2 linked regions of the Lonchura striata genome follow. The protein of the gene in region 1 purifies or fractionates together with the protein of each later gene. This does not show direct contact. Links are inferred from orthologs where the notes say so. Each region holds a gene or a part of one and is shown in the gene's direction. Other genes may lie near its edges.

The links.
Region 2: the proteins of RPP25L (region 1) and IBTK purify together in Homo sapiens (co-immunoprecipitation; 3 studies listed by BioGRID and IntAct, with this or other methods). This does not show direct contact. The link is inferred for Lonchura striata from reciprocal best matches to the Homo sapiens genes RPP25L and IBTK.

Annotation. Positions count from the first base shown.
Region 1 is NC_134642.1:40,931,710-40,939,156, forward strand, and holds RPP25L (ribonuclease P protein subunit p25-like protein), read left to right. Parts: upstream 1-4,628; 5' UTR 4,629-4,687; intron 4,688-4,852; exon of another isoform or gene 4,853-4,940; intron 4,941-5,149; exon of another isoform or gene 5,150-5,428; intron 5,429-5,600; 5' UTR 5,601-5,609; coding exon 5,610-6,158; 3' UTR 6,159-6,944; downstream 6,945-7,447. Other genes in the region: DCTN3 (dynactin subunit 3), read left to right, coding at 104-190, 1,023-1,106, 1,655-1,713, 2,458-2,517, 2,928-3,017. UniProt on the Homo sapiens protein: May be a component of ribonuclease P or MRP.
Region 2 is NC_134605.1:80,675,939-80,683,362, forward strand, and holds the start of IBTK (inhibitor of Bruton tyrosine kinase), read left to right. Parts: upstream 1-4,413; 5' UTR 4,414-4,593; intron 4,594-7,424. UniProt on the Homo sapiens protein: Acts as an inhibitor of BTK tyrosine kinase activity, thereby playing a role in B-cell development. Down-regulates BTK kinase activity, leading to interference with BTK-mediated calcium mobilization and NF-kappa-B-driven transcription.

The DNA of each region.
Region 1 (7,447 bases):
TTTCCATCTGCCCATGTCAGGATCTGCTCTCCATGAAATGCTGCTCTTATGAATGCCATAACATCTCCCTACTTTTCGTCTCCAAACCTATTTATCCCTCCAGTTGAAGATATAATAAAATACCTTGACCCCCAGTACATTGACAGGATGGCTGTTCCAGACACTATGAAGCTGCAGTTCATCTTGGCAGGTATGAGATGAGGGGAAAGAGGAGGCTTTTGTAGCACTGCAAATAAAGCATCCTTTCTCTAAGATGGGTCAGGATGAATTTATTTTCTTCAGTGGTAAAATGTGGCACGGCAGGCCCTGTGGAGGTATCAGAGAGATGGTTTGCACAAGGGTGTCTGTCACCCTCAGTGCTCCCTTGTGCACAGCCACACTGCAGTTTTGTCAGCTCTGATCTCTTCTGTATTGATCATTCAATTTAGCCCCAAATTCATCAAAGGCTGGTAAGAAAAGCGGGAGCTAGGATGATTTCCTTACCCCACTTCAGTATTCTCCAGGCTGGGACAATTGGGTGTGTTTTGACATCCCCTAGCCTTGTCCTCTCTTGACCCAAGGAGTTTGATCAACCCGTGACCAGTATAATCTGTCAGTGGAATTCCACTGAATCACGGAATGTTAAGGGGGTGGAAGGGAACTTAAGGACCATCCAGTCCCAATCCACCTTCCCCAGCTTTCCCAGGTTGCTCAGACTCCATCCAACCTGGCATTGAACACTGCCAGGGATGGAGCATCCACATCCTCCTGGGCACCTTCACAGTAAAGAATCTTCTCCTAATATCCAGCCTAAATTTCCCCTCTTTCCATTTGTACACTCCTTGTCCTATCATTAGAACGTGGTGGAGATTCTCCTGCCTGAAATTGGTGTCAGTCAAGACCCAGGGATGAGCAGCACAAAAGTGATGAAAAATCATGAATCCTTTCTGTAAAGACAGATCAGCTGGGAAAATTACCACTAGTGAAAAGCCAGAGCAGTGTTTTGTGTTTACTGATGTTGCTTCTTGTCCCCACACAACCAGAGGAACAGGCTATTCCTGCCCGTGCAGCCCTTCTGGAGCAAGTGAAGAACCTCCAGCCTATCTTGGACAGCACCAGTATCCAAGGTATGCATGTTCTGCAAGCTGGAGCTGCAAATGCCACCTGCTAAGCTGTGGCCTGTCCTGCTTGCTTTCTTTTCTCTTGAGTCTGAGACTAGAGAAGAAGACAGCTTAGTGGTGTGAAAGTAAACTGAGTACAAAGTTAGTCTGCTCCTGCCACATGCTGCCCTAGTCTCCCTTGCAAAGTCATGGAGGTGATAGAGTAGCTTGTGAAGCAGGCTAAAGAGAGCACTGTGGCAGAGGGGGTGGAGCCTGGCAGGTCATTCCTTCCTGTGAGCTGTTTTACATCCAGAATATCTGTTCTGGCCAGTGGTTTAGTCCCGTGTGTTTCGTGAGTAGCCCTCGCTGTGGGCATCCCTGAGCTTGTGCCATGTGCAGGATAGTTATGTAATTTTTTTTATCCTCTGTGAGTTTTATCTATAGTGTGGGACACTTGCACTCAGCAAGTGGAGTTCTGCCATGCTGTGCTCATGGAGGAAGACTGGGGTTTACGTTGGGAGCTAATCCCATGTGCTGTAAAACAGCCCAAACTGATTTCTCTTTTGTGCTTCCAGCGGTTCCTGACCATGCAGCCAAACTGCAGAGGCTCTCACAGATCCACATACAGCAGCAGGTACCGTGAACATTCCTATAAGTATTGAGTAGAAGGGCCTAGAAACCTTTTACAAGTGGCTGTACTGACACCCAGTATTTGTAATTGCTTGAATTGCTCATTTATGGCAGTTCTTTGCAATCTGAATTTTCATACTACAGTCTTAAAGAAGTTTTAAGTACTCCTAGGGGAAAAAGGAGCCAGGATTTCTGTGAATTTGGTCCAAGTTGGAAATTTGCCCACCATAACCCTGCTCAAAACAGCTTTCAGTGACACATAGTAAGGGACATTTGGTTTAACCATCTTGAATTCCCCCTTTTACTGAGACTCTGAGGTGAAGCATTGCTCTCCTCCAGTGTCCTACTCTCTGGAACGTTGTTGACACTGTCAGCCTGTCCCTTCACCCTTTCCCTCCCTGTATGAGCACTCTTGGAGCTGGCAGTGAGCAGCCTGGGCAGTTCCTAATGGTCTCTTTCAGCATTTTGTTCTGAGTTTCTGTTCCGGGGCAAGCAAAGCCTGGATACTGAGGAAAGGCAAGCAGCAGTGCAAGCCTGGGGGGTTTGCTGCTTCATGGGACCAGTGTTTGTCAGTTTTCTCTTAATTGTGAAAACCTGTCCAGCTGCAGTGGGCACCACAGCCAGGGCCTGAGCACTGATCTCAGTGCTGGCCTTGGATGAGTTTCCTGCCATGCTGTCGTGGACTGGGAAGGGAGGTATGTTGTTCACCTTATTTATTGATCATGCACTGCGGCTCCCCTCTTCACAGGAGAAGCGTCACGATCTCACTGACAGTGTCAAGACACTCCTTGAGGATTACAACAAAATGGTATCCTTTAAAATGCCTGGAACTCCTGAACTGACTCCTTCCCCTGGCTGATCCCATTGCATCTCCAGCCTGGGGTTTAACAGCCTTTCTGATGGGGTGACACCTATGTCACTGTCCTGGCTGCGAAGGATCCCAATGCTGAGGCACATCCCAAAGCCAGAGTGGGTAGGGAAGCTGTGGAAAGCCCTTGCATGGCGGTGGTGTGTGGAGTTCACAAAGTACCTCCTGGACTCCCATGGGTGTATGGTGCTGTGCAGTGGCTCAGCCACTGGGTGGAGTGAATCCATGAAGTGCCTTGGTGCCCTGGGCCTCTCCTAAGGAATCAAAATTGTAATGGTGCTGTCAGGATGCTCTGACCTAGGTTTCTTCCTCACAGTTTCCACATAACTTTCCTTAAGTGTTGTGTCCAGACTTTGCTTCTCTCCAAGCAGTTTGTGCAGTGGAATGAAATCCTGACACGCCTGGAAGTGGCCAAACAAGCAAAACCTGTGGCAGAGTGATGGCAGAGCTGGGAGAGTGGCATGTCCAGAGCCCCTGTGGCACAGCTTGCATCCTGCTGGTCTCAGCTCCTTCCTGCTTGGTGCGAGCATGCTGAAGTGACGCAGCAGGATCCTGGAGCACCCAGCTCTGTGCAGAACTGTGCCAGCCGCCAGTCAAAGCCACACTGCTCCTTAATCTGCCACTGTTTGCAAATCTTTTATTTCTCTGAAATGCATCTCAGTTTTAATGTATTTCAAAACCCCATTTCTGTGCTTACTGTGGGCCATAGTAAAGTCCTGGAATGCTAACTGGGTTGTCTGTCTCTCCCTCAGTGTGAGGACTGCTCCTGGCACAGACTGGGGATATTTCCCCAGGCAGTGATCTCTTTGCAGCCTCCAGGAAACGGCTAGTGGTTCCTTTCAGCCTTGGGCCAAGGGCAGGGAAACCATTTCCACACTCTTCCTGTTTGTGTGAGTTGTCTGCCCAGGAGAATCTGGTCTTAGGGATCTTTTCTGCCTTGCTGTTCTCCTATCTGTGTGCTGAGAGAAGGTAGCAGCTTTTGCCTTTATCCTGCCTCTGCTTTCCTGAGGCTGCTGCAGTCTAAGGCCCGTTCTGGCTCTTTGCCTTTCTAGAGGGAGGCATAGGCCATGCCTTGCCTGGTCTGGCTGTAGCATGGAGTTTCCAAGGCCATACTTTTGCAAGGGTCTCAAACCCTTCAGGTCGGTGAAACACTGCCCAGCTGAGTGTGACCCTGGGAGTCCTGCAGGAACGGGCAGAATGCCCACAGGAATTCCAGAAGAGCTCGCCGGTCCCAGAGCTGTTTCTGATCAGCAGCCTCGCTGGCTGTCAAACCACGGTGGGGCTGCAGGCCTGCGGAAAAGCCCCGCTCCCTGCAGCTGCCCGAGGAGCTGAGGTGAGGGTCAGGGTTAGGGTCGGGGTTAGGGTCGGGGTTGGGGTTAGGTTGAGGGTTAGGGTCAGGGTTAGGGTTGAGGTTTAGGGTCAGGGTGAGGGTTAGGGTCGGGGTTAGGGTTGAGGTTAGGGTGAGGGTTAGGGTCAGGGTTAGGGTGAGGTTTAGGGTCAGGGCTAGGGTCAGGGTGAGGGTTAGGGTCAGGGTTAGGATCGGGGTGAGGGTGAGGGTTAGGGTCAAGGTTAGGGTGAGGTTTAGGGCCAGGGCTAAGGTCAGGGTTTAGGGTCAGGGTCAGCGTTAGGGTTGGGGTGAGGGTTAGGGTTAGGGTTGAGGTTAGGGTGAGGTTGAGGTTTAGGGTGAGGGTTAGGGTTAGGGTGAGGTTTAGGGTCAGGGTTAGGTTCAGGGTCAGAGTTAGGGTTAGGGTTGAGGTTAGGGTGAGCTTGAGGTTTAGGGTCAGGGTTAGGGTGAGGTTTAGGGTCAGGGTCAGAGTTAGGGTTGGGGTTAGGGTTGGGGTGAGGGTTAGGGTCAGGGTTGGGGTTAGGGTTAGGGTCAGGGTTAGGGTGAGGTTTAGGGTCAGGGTCAGGGTTATGGAGAGGTTTAGGGTCAGGGTTTAGGGTTAGGTTTGGGGACGCCGTGCCGCGCGGGGCCCGCAGCTCGCCCCGCCCCCGCTGTCACCGCCGTGCGATTGGCGCGCGCCTCCTTCGGGCCCCGCCCGCCTCGCGCGTGCGCGCGCCCGGCGCCGGCCGCCATCTTGTGTCGAGGCGCGCGCTGCGGCGGCCGCAGGTGAGCGCGGGCTCCGCGCGCCCGTCCGGGACCTCCCTGGCTCCCACCGGCATTCCCGCATCCCGCCGCGCTCTCCGGCTCCCCCCGGCGCCCCCCGGCGCTCTCCGGCTCCCCCCGGCGCCCCGGGCTCCGATGGCGGCGGCGGCCGCGTGAGGGCCCGGGCCTCGTGTGCTCCCAGGGTTCGGAGCGTGTGCCGAGGAGGACGCGGTGCGGGGTGCAGGGTCTGGGCGCAGCGGGACTCAGGAGCCTGCGGGTAACAAAGTACTGCGACCTTCAGCCCCTTGAGCTGTGCGGTGGGGACGTGGGCTGCCCTGCACAGGGTCAAGCAGACCTAGGACAGGATGGCACCTGCCTTGGCACAGACGGCAGCTGCGAGGCCTGGCCTTTCTGTCCTTCCCTCGAGGAAATGTTTTTTTATTCCTGCAACCCCTGGCTTGCCATCTCCCTTGTGACATGCAGTGTTTTAGCCTCAGCTAGGCTGGTCAGGTCTCCATGAGCCTGTATTTGTACACGACTTGCTGCATGTAAATTGTGCTTGAATTTGTCCTGTGCATGTTCTGGTGTGGCAAGCATCCCCGAGTTCTGTTCTCAGTCACCCCAGCTCACTTTTTGTTCTGTCTTCTCTTGAGATACAGCAGTGTTTTCATGTCACCATGGTTAAGCCCACAACACTAACACTTGCTTTTTTCACAGCCTGCTTGCCAAAACTCAGGCTGCCCTGTGGTATCATTCATATTGTAAGTATGTCCTTAAGAGGACTGGGCTAATATTTTGGTTGTCCCTTTCCAGGATTTCCCAACCCTGATAGTTCAGAGTGCCCTTCAGAGAAAAGCTTGTGGCTAAATGTGGTGAGAGTTTCTTTGGGCAGCAATTAGAGTGGGCAGTGTGTTCATGGGTCTGTTTTCCTTTTCAGCATTGCAGAATGGAGAACTATAAGAAGACCAAAATTGTGGAGAAACCTTGTCCTCCTCCTTTCACTGACCTGCCTGCTGATATTATTGAAATGAAGGTGAAGGACGGGAGCAAAATTAGGAATCTGATGGGCTATGCCATGAGCAAGATGGAGCAGGACTCAGTGAGGCAGATTCTTTTCACTGGCTCAGGCAAGGCTGTTAGCAAGACCATTACCTGTGTGGAAATCATGAAACGAAGGCTCAAGGAGCTGCACCAGATCACCAAAGTGCTCTTCAAACAGATTGAAGAAATCTGGGAACCCATTGTGCCTGAGGCAGGCCTCGATGCCTTGACAGTGAAGAGAAACATTCCTGCCATATGTGTCCTGCTGAGCAAAGATGCCCTGGATCCTCAGGAGTCAGGATACCAGGCCCCAGGATCTTTTGATGCCTTCTGGACTGAGACACTGAAAGCAGAATCACAGGGCCAGATGAAGAGGAAGCAGGGTGGAGGCCGGGGAGCTGCCAGCACAGGGAAGCACCCTCGCTCCACCAGGGGAATGCCGTGGGGGCCCTGAGGCGGCAGATCCGCACGTGGTTCAGGGGAGCTGCAGAAACCAGCCCGGGGCTGTGGCTGCACGGCTGCTGCTGAACACAGGGGTTCACAGAGGTGTGAGGGGAGGGCAGGAGGAGCAGACTGTTAAACTGGGTGTGATGATAGCTGTCTGAAAATGTGTTTTGACAAGTTCCCTTGCCAGGGGCTGCCAGGCTGTACTCCTTAGGGGATCGTGGAAGATGGGAATTGCCTCTTCTTGAGCAAGAACAGTTGGTGTGCTGTCAGTGAGCCCCAGAGAAGCACTGCTAACCCAGTGGGGTTTCAGGTGCTTGGGTGTGCAGCAGCCCAGGCAGCGGGACAGACACCTGTCTGTGTGCCAGGTGCAGGTTGCTCTGACCAGTACAGAGGGGAGACAGGACCTGATCTGGAATCCTCAGGCAGCTGCCTGCATCACCTGGGCTCATGAAGTGTACAGACAGCAGGGCACAGGGCTGGGCCAGCCATTTCTGTGCCTGAAGAATCCTTCTGCTGAGCCTGTTGAGGGGGTTGAATGTAGGAGTGCCAGGATACAGCTCTGGCATCATGTGCATGTAGCTCCTTGGCTCAGCAGAGCTGGCGGTCCTGGTTCTCTCCAAACAGGCAGCAGTCAACTCACGCTGTAGCCAGCCTGAAATCTTGTGGCTCTGCAGCTGTCCTGGGGTGGTGGTAATAGGAAGCTCCAAAGGATCCTGTTCTTTCCCCTTTCTGCTCCTTGAAAATGCGCAAAGATGGCTTTAAAATAAAGATGTAACTTCATGTAACTTGGAAATTTGTCATGTCTTACTGATCCCACTGGAGGTCACCCTGTAAGCATTGGTGGTGGAGTTGTGGCTGCTGGCTGAAGCTCTACTCTTCCAGCCTTCCTGCTGCTCTGTGTTTGTTCCTCTCATGACTGTATATGGACCCTGATCCAAGGGGAGGTTAATAACCTCCTTTCACATCCAAAATAGATCAAGGTTCTGGTGTTTTCCTCTGAAGTTTTTTGCTAATTGTTTTTCTCTGCTTTAAAATGGCTGGAACTGCAGCCTCAAAAAGACTCGTCCGGAACTCTGCTGAGTGATGCAAAGGATGTATCGTCTTTTCTTGTGCACTAGTTTCCCTTCTGGAACAGGTCTGGTGAGTGATTCTGGGCCAGAGAGAAAGGCTATTCCTGTGACGGGCTGAGCTCCTGCCTCAAGAGAGCTCACTCCTGTCCTGAGCACTCCCTGTCCTTCCCGTGTGCTTGTGCAGGGAGCTCCAGCTGGACCCACGCTCTGTGCTGTCAGTTAAATA
Region 2 (7,424 bases), on another chromosome or scaffold:
ATCACAACAGATAATACTGCAATAACTTTACATGTACTGTAGTCTCCATTTTTATTGAAGATTACTTTCTAATAACTGTCCCTTTACCAGGTCACACAAAAGTTCTTTTAGTACCTGTGGGATGCCAATATAATTTTTGTTTCATGTATGTTAGGCTATTTATCACAGGACTTTACAAAACATTTTTTAAAATTATGGGAATTCTGAAAAAAACAGGGGACAATGCATTGTCACCACACACGCCTCATATCACTGATAACAAACTGTCCTTTCTGTGTCTCTGGAATACTACAATAACAGAAAATCTACCCTGGGCATAAGAGAGGCTCCAAAAGTCTAATTAGAGAAGCTGGAAATCTTGCAAGCTAATGAGGAGATGTTGGAGTTTCTGACATGGCACAGCTACATGGAAGTGTTCCAGCCATGCAAGACGAAGAACTTGCTTTTCTGGAGCCATGATTTGCTGAGAGAAAGCTCCTGGATACTCATCACATCTCTATTTCCTACTTCACAGGGGAACTCTCAAGTAGATGGATCAGGTTGGGAAGCCCATATCCATCACCACTGTCATTTCCACTCTGTTTAATCCTTGGACTTCTTCACACTTTTCTTAGACTCTTATACACCAGGAATTTAATGACCCTGTCTGAGTAAGAGGATAAGCTTTGTTAAAGCAAGATGCACATAGTTTTAGTAAATTTGGAGATAATTCTTTTTGCAAGCTTGCCCTTCTAAGAGGCGTTACATTGAATTTTGTTTTATTAATTCTGTAATATGAATTTTCTAGCATATTATACCCTTCTTTTTTTTAAGTTCATTAAAGAGAAGGATTATGAGAAACACTTTTAGTATCAGAAGTTAAGCCTGATTAATATTTTCTTCAGCAGATTATTACTGCTGCCAATAACAGCTATTACTCAAGGTTACAGAGGACACTGGTAATAATTAGGCACATTAAGAGATATATGAAGGCAGCAATCTGTCACTTGACATTTAGTATAGCCAAAAAGGAAAAAAATAATTCTTTTTAATTTTGATATATAGATTGAACTTTTTGATTACTTAAAAAAGAATCACTCTTTTTTCCACAACATTCAGGATAAATTTCAGAAAGAATAAAGCACAAAGTCCTTTTTTTCCTTTCTGTCACTTACATTTCCTCCTCTAATTCCTCCAGTAGCCTAAGTCTGGTGCAGACTACAATGGATGGATGGATGGATGGATAAGATTAATAGGTCACTAGAAAGCGGTCTAATGTGGTAATGTCCTCTCTATAGCCTAGATTTATCTTCCCTAACCTTAAATAAGTACACACATTTAGAGCACAGCCAATTTGTAATTCTTCAACAGTCAATGAACTGAGAAGCATATTAAGACAAAAATACACTCTGTAGGCTAGTTAAGTTGCTCAAAATTGATGTTCCTCCTCAAATTCTGAAGATGGCTACGTATACTGGTTTTCCTTTTAAAGTGTTGCTCTTCCTTCCTTTTTATGGATTAAAGTTTAGCGCTTCTATAAAAAGTAACAACAGCAGTTAAAGACATATTTTTTCCTATAATTACTTGTTTATTTCTGATAATTCAGATCTTTTCATAACAGACTGAAAAAAGCCAGAAGAACAATTCTTTATTGACAGACACATGCTACGTGTGTCATGAACGTGCAAACCTGGCTGTTGGACTACCCAATTAAAAATACTCTTCAGTGATTTGTTGCTGGCATTTCATCTCCACATCTGTAATTTTTTCCGAAAGACTCAAAATAGTGTATTTTTTTTGCAACAGTGTTGTAATTTTCCACAGTAGAAAAACCCAAACCAAAACAAGTAATTTAAACAGAGGCTCAAGTTACCCTGTTTGAGCTACTTTTGTTTTTCAATATTACTTTAGCACCTCAACATAGCTCTGCAAATCAAGCTGTAGCAGTCTGGTTCTGTGAATGGTGTTCACTAATTTGCTGCTGCTTTTGCAGAGGCAGTACAAGATAGTAGGAATTTTTATTACTGACCTGTAAGCTGGGGTCAATTAGAAAAACCTAAACAATAAAAAACAGGGAAAGCAGTTAATATCTTATTTTTCCATGAATATATTAAAAGTCCTGCAAAGATAAAACTCTTGCATAGAAAACGATTGCTAAAAGCTTTTGGTTATTCTGTCAAGGTTTTGTCTGACTTGGACTCTATCAGGTCCTATTCATGACTCTGTTATTTTCCCACTTTTCTGTGTTGTTTGCTGCACTTTTCTATTCTTTACAGTAGTATTTATTATGAAAGATGTGAGGGGCAGTCCAGCTTCCAGAAACTATCTTTTTCATATAGAATTTTAGATATTATTCTGTCTCAAGCCTCTTCATCTTTCCATCATGCTCTCTGCTGCTCCAGAGTCGGTCCAGGCTATTCACTTGAATTTGTTATTATGCAACAAAGCATTGCTTACAACTGACTTCAGCTGTATTTGGATCTCCTCATCTCCCCAGATGGTCATCTCTGTCCTTAGGCCAGCTGGCAGCAGACCTGGGGCACAGCCACCTCCGACCTTTGTTTGTAACTGAAACACTAAGAAACTGTCACTGGGAAAATAATGCATAAATAAATTTCACGTAGGTTGCAGTTTTGGTTACAATGGTGAATGGCTGCTGGCAAACTAAACACGTATACAGAGAAAATCAGAGAGCATATTTTATAGTTCACATTAACTGTGTCAGATGGCACAGGTAAAAATGCTTGAGATTCACCTAAATACAATTCATACTGAATCTTTCCCAAATTGAACTGCTGCTGAAGAACATGCTGAAGAACATTAATAACTTTTTTTTCAACTGTTTTGTGGATCTAAAGATAGCTACGTTTTGTTTTAAGGTCACAATGCTTACACTGCATTGGATAATACTGTGGCTTTAAAAAACACATAGGAATCCATTACACTAATGTCAATACATTATTAGTATATTTCTTGGGAAAAAAAACATATATTTATTTTTTTAAAGGTGATATGTATTTGTTTTACTCTGTATTTTACATTGTTGAGCTGACAACCCAATTCAAGCTTGTCTTGAGTTCAGCTTCCTGCCTTTAAACAGTACACCCTAATCCTGTCCCAGATTAATTGGTAATCTGTGCCACCTATTGCATCACCTAAGACATCCACTGTGAAAAACACCAATCACTTGTTTTTTTAAATCTTAAAAGTTTATTAGTAATAAAATTAGAGTAATAAAAATTTGGACAATGAGTATTAGGGCACTACAAGACAATAAAAAACAAAGAATTAAGGACATCCGGATGTTTTTGGGCACTAAGATGCCAAAAATATGCCTTGTGAACAAAGGAATAACCCTTAAAAGCAATAGCCTGTTGCATATTCATATACCTCATACATGATGCATAAATTCCTTGCAAATTAAGAATTTTTCTGGTTTATGTCAACTTCTTCCCCTTAATCCTGGTGGTTCCATAAAAACAGAGAAGGTGGAAGAATGTTTGTCTTTTCTGATAAGAGGAAACCTCCTCAGGTTTTGTGTTGCTGCTACCTCTGTGCAGTTTCTTGATTATCTTATCCCTTTTCTTGAGCTAGTAAAAAATATCTTACATTGAATAGTTTCTATTTTAACATTATGTTATAACCTGGAACTATATTTAATACACTACTTAAGAGAATTAATACAGCATAACTTTCTAACATTAAACATATAATATTCATTCTATAATTTGCAAAAGGCTAATAATAAAATATGCATGTTTCACATCCACCAAAAAGAACTGAGCCCTCACGGAGTGCTTGGCAGGAGTCACAAGAGCAGGTGTGCAAATCCTTGCGCACACACCAGGTTTGCTTACGAGGCTGACCCGAGATGGTGTCAAAAGCCTCACAAAGAATCAAGCTGTATCCCATACATCAGACCACTTGTTCTCTCAGAGAGAGAAACTGCTGTGGCTTAACACAGGCTGAATCGGCACAGCCTTCTCCGCGCTTTCTCTCCATTACTTCGAGGGATCTCTAGGTTGGGTATTTATTTGCTGTTGAGCCCTCCAGGAGGGAGCATGACCTTACCAGCCACTCATGCCCCTCCTTCGCAGCAAGGCACGGTGTTTCTCCTGCCAAGACTGCCAGCAGGAGGCCGCTCAGCTGCTGCCCTTTCCCCTCGCTGCTCCCCGATAACTCCAGTCCCTTCCGTGCCCGGCACAGGGAGCGATCCCCGCACCCGCCGCCCGTCCGGGTTAACCCCTGCGGCACCGCGCCCCGCCCCTGCCCCGCTCCCTCCTGCTGGCCCGCCCCCACCCTGACCCCACCTGTCAGTCAATCCGGGCTCGGCCGCGGGGGCGGGGCCGAGCCGGCAGCCGCAGCCAATCGGCGCGCGAGGTGCGGCGGCGCCGCGGCCAATCGGCGTTCCGCTTCTTGGTGGGTGCGCTGGCCGCCGTCGGTGCGCCCCGCCGAGCCGCGGCCCCGCCTGTCGCCGCCGCTGTCGCCGGCGGAGCTGTCGCGGTAGCGGCTGCGCCCCAGCCTGGCCCTGCCCCGGAGTCACTGAGGATGAGCCCCCGCGCTGCCCAGCGAGCGTCCCGCCCTGCCCGCCGGAGTCCATTCATCTAGCGACTGGTGAGGGGCGGGCGTCCGGCGGGGAGCCGCTCGGAGACGGGTCCTGCCGGAGGGGTCGGGACGGCGGCGGTGGGCGGCTGAAGGAATGGGGAGAGCTCCGGGCAAGGCAGCCAGGGAGGCTGAAGGGCAGCCGGCCACGTAGGATGGGAGGAGACCGGCTTCGTGGCTCGGTCGCCTGTGTCAATAGGTCTCTTGTGTCTCTCTTCGCCCCTCGGCTACGTGGACGCTGTAGTGGCAGTCAGAATGGCCCCCTGCCCTCTGCCTGCCCCTGGCTCCTTGAAGCACTTCAGACCTTCCTCCTCCCTGACTCTGACACGCGCTTCTTGCCAGGTTTCCTTAGCTGTGGATTCAGGGAAAGCCTGGCGTGTTTCTCCTTCTTGGTGATACTTGCCTGTTTTTGTAGCAACTCACAGTGCTGCTGAGTTAGACCAGCACCGTAAGCACTGGAGAGCCGCGGTCTCGTAGTTATCTGTAAGGGATACTTCCATGCAGTCTTCCTAGGCGAAATGCAAGTGTTTATTTTTTTGGGTATGTGGTCAGTGTAGTTGTCTATCTTTATGGAAAGTGGTCACAGTTTGTGGTTTACAAAAAATAGTAATCGCCCACCAGCATCTGGTGTGGGTTGTCTGCAATAAAACTGTACCAGAAATTCACAGTTAAATCAAAAACGTCACCTTTTCCTAAGATGGAAAAGTCCTTGGTGATTTTTCGGACATATTTTGAAGTGGGGTGAAGTTCTAGTGCACGCTTGTGGTTTGTTGTGTTTAACTTCCCTTCAGCATTATTGTTTCAATAAAGCCTATAACAAGGTCTTGATGGATTGTGGAAGTGGCTGTAGCTGCATTCACTGTACTTTTGCCTATAGCACTTTAATTTTTTTAAACAGTATTAAGTTATTAAACATAGGAAGTCCTGAGTATTTCTAGACAAGGCACAGCACAGTAGTTCACAGTTTACTGTTTATGTACAATGATTCCCAACTAATAGATGTGCTCTGACGTTTGCAGCTGAATTTAGCTACCAGTGGTACTTTGGTCTTTTTTTGACAGATGTGTCAGCCTTTAATTGACAGTGCTGCTTAGCTCAGCTAGGAGCAACTGAATTAGGGTTGTTGGATTGCTGAATGTCTCATTCTGATAAGGATTATGCTGTTGTTGTTGAAGGAGGAAGTTACAGAAAATCTGGAGAGAGCCTCTGAAGGTCATTTGTTCTGGGGTGTACCTGTGCTGAGTGGTGGCATGGAGGCCCCATCCCAGTAAATGAAGCAGCTTGGATCTGCTGTGACCCAGGGGACACAGTGGGCATGGTGGAATGTGGTGTCTTTCAAAGCAAGTTGGTTTTCCTTTGTAGCTTTACCTCTGGACAGGTCACATTTATTTATAACTTGAGTGGTTTGCTTGTTGTCTAGTCTGTTTTGAGAGCCTCATGTTCAGATTATGTGTCAGGAAGGATTTTCAAATTTGTAATTTGAAAATCCTTCCTGACATATGATCTGAATCTTTTATGGAATTTGTCCACTGTCAGGAGTAAAAGGGACTGGAGTTTTGATGTTTCTTCTTTGTGTAACAGATGCCTTATTCAAAGGCTCTGGGTGGTCTGCTGAAGCCACAGCTGAAGGAGAAAAGAGATCCAATTTGCTTGTACTCAGGGGTTGTTCTATAAACATTCTGAATCCTAGTGGCTCTTTCCAAGCTTTTCTCTATCTACTTGCTGCTCTTAAAACTTGCTATCTGAACTAGAAGCAGGACTCTGATATTTTGTGCATCGAGGAGAGCAGAACCCTTGTTTTTTTGTGTCTCAATGCTCCTATTATATAGTCAAGAAGAAGCTGCTTTTTTAAAGGTCTCTCTGAGGGAATTTCAGGCTGCTAAATCATTATTAGCTACTGCATAGCTTAGATTTACCTTTTTTCCCTTGTACATTCAATTACTTTCCAACCCCTTGAACATTTTGTGTTCAAGGGGTTGGAAAATATAGATTTTTGCCCATTCTTCAACAAATGTACAAGGAATTTCTGAGCAATGTCTGTGACTATGTGACTGTGAACTATTCTGAAACTATCTGTGGATATGTAGTCTGAGCAGGAATTAATAGTCTGACTGTTCTTTAAAGGCTAGGACAATGTGCTACCTGTACCTGAAAGGTATACTTGCTTTGTTTGTCTAGGAATTCATCTGTGTTTCCTTGAGGATATCTTGCTTAATGCCAGTGCAAAGGCTGTTGTATTACTACCTAGCCTCAATTTTCTAGTCAATTTGTCAGATTCTAAACTGTTACTTTAATATGTATTAGTGAAAGTTGCCTTTAGGTAAGAATACAGTCAACAGAAAGTCCTGGAAAAGTGGTAACATGATGGCAAATTCCCATGGCATTATTTCTGTAAGCTGTTTTTTATTAGCTTACTATTCAAGTAGTCTGTGTAGTGAAGTTTGCTTTAGGTACAAATATTTTAAGGACTTCCGTGCTGTTATGGTTACTGGTCTTTTGTGGTTTTATGAAACAAATGCAAATGGACCAACATGGAGATATGTCAGCACACTTGTTTAAAAACCAATCCCCTTCCATTCCACAGTGGAAATATTTAAGATACTGCTATACCCTTATAAGGATAGACGTAACTTTCCTGAAATGTGTGGTGTTGCCAGTCTCACTTCACTTAGCAACTTACTATGGAAAGGAAAAGAAAATTAATTTAGTACCTTCAGAAAAAGTATTATTTTTACTTTTTTTTTTCTTTAAATTTTAAAGAAAGGGTGTTAGGATTGACAAGGAAAGCTCTATGCTTCTTTTATATGAAAAATAGAAACCATTGCTTAGTTCTGTTTTGGGAG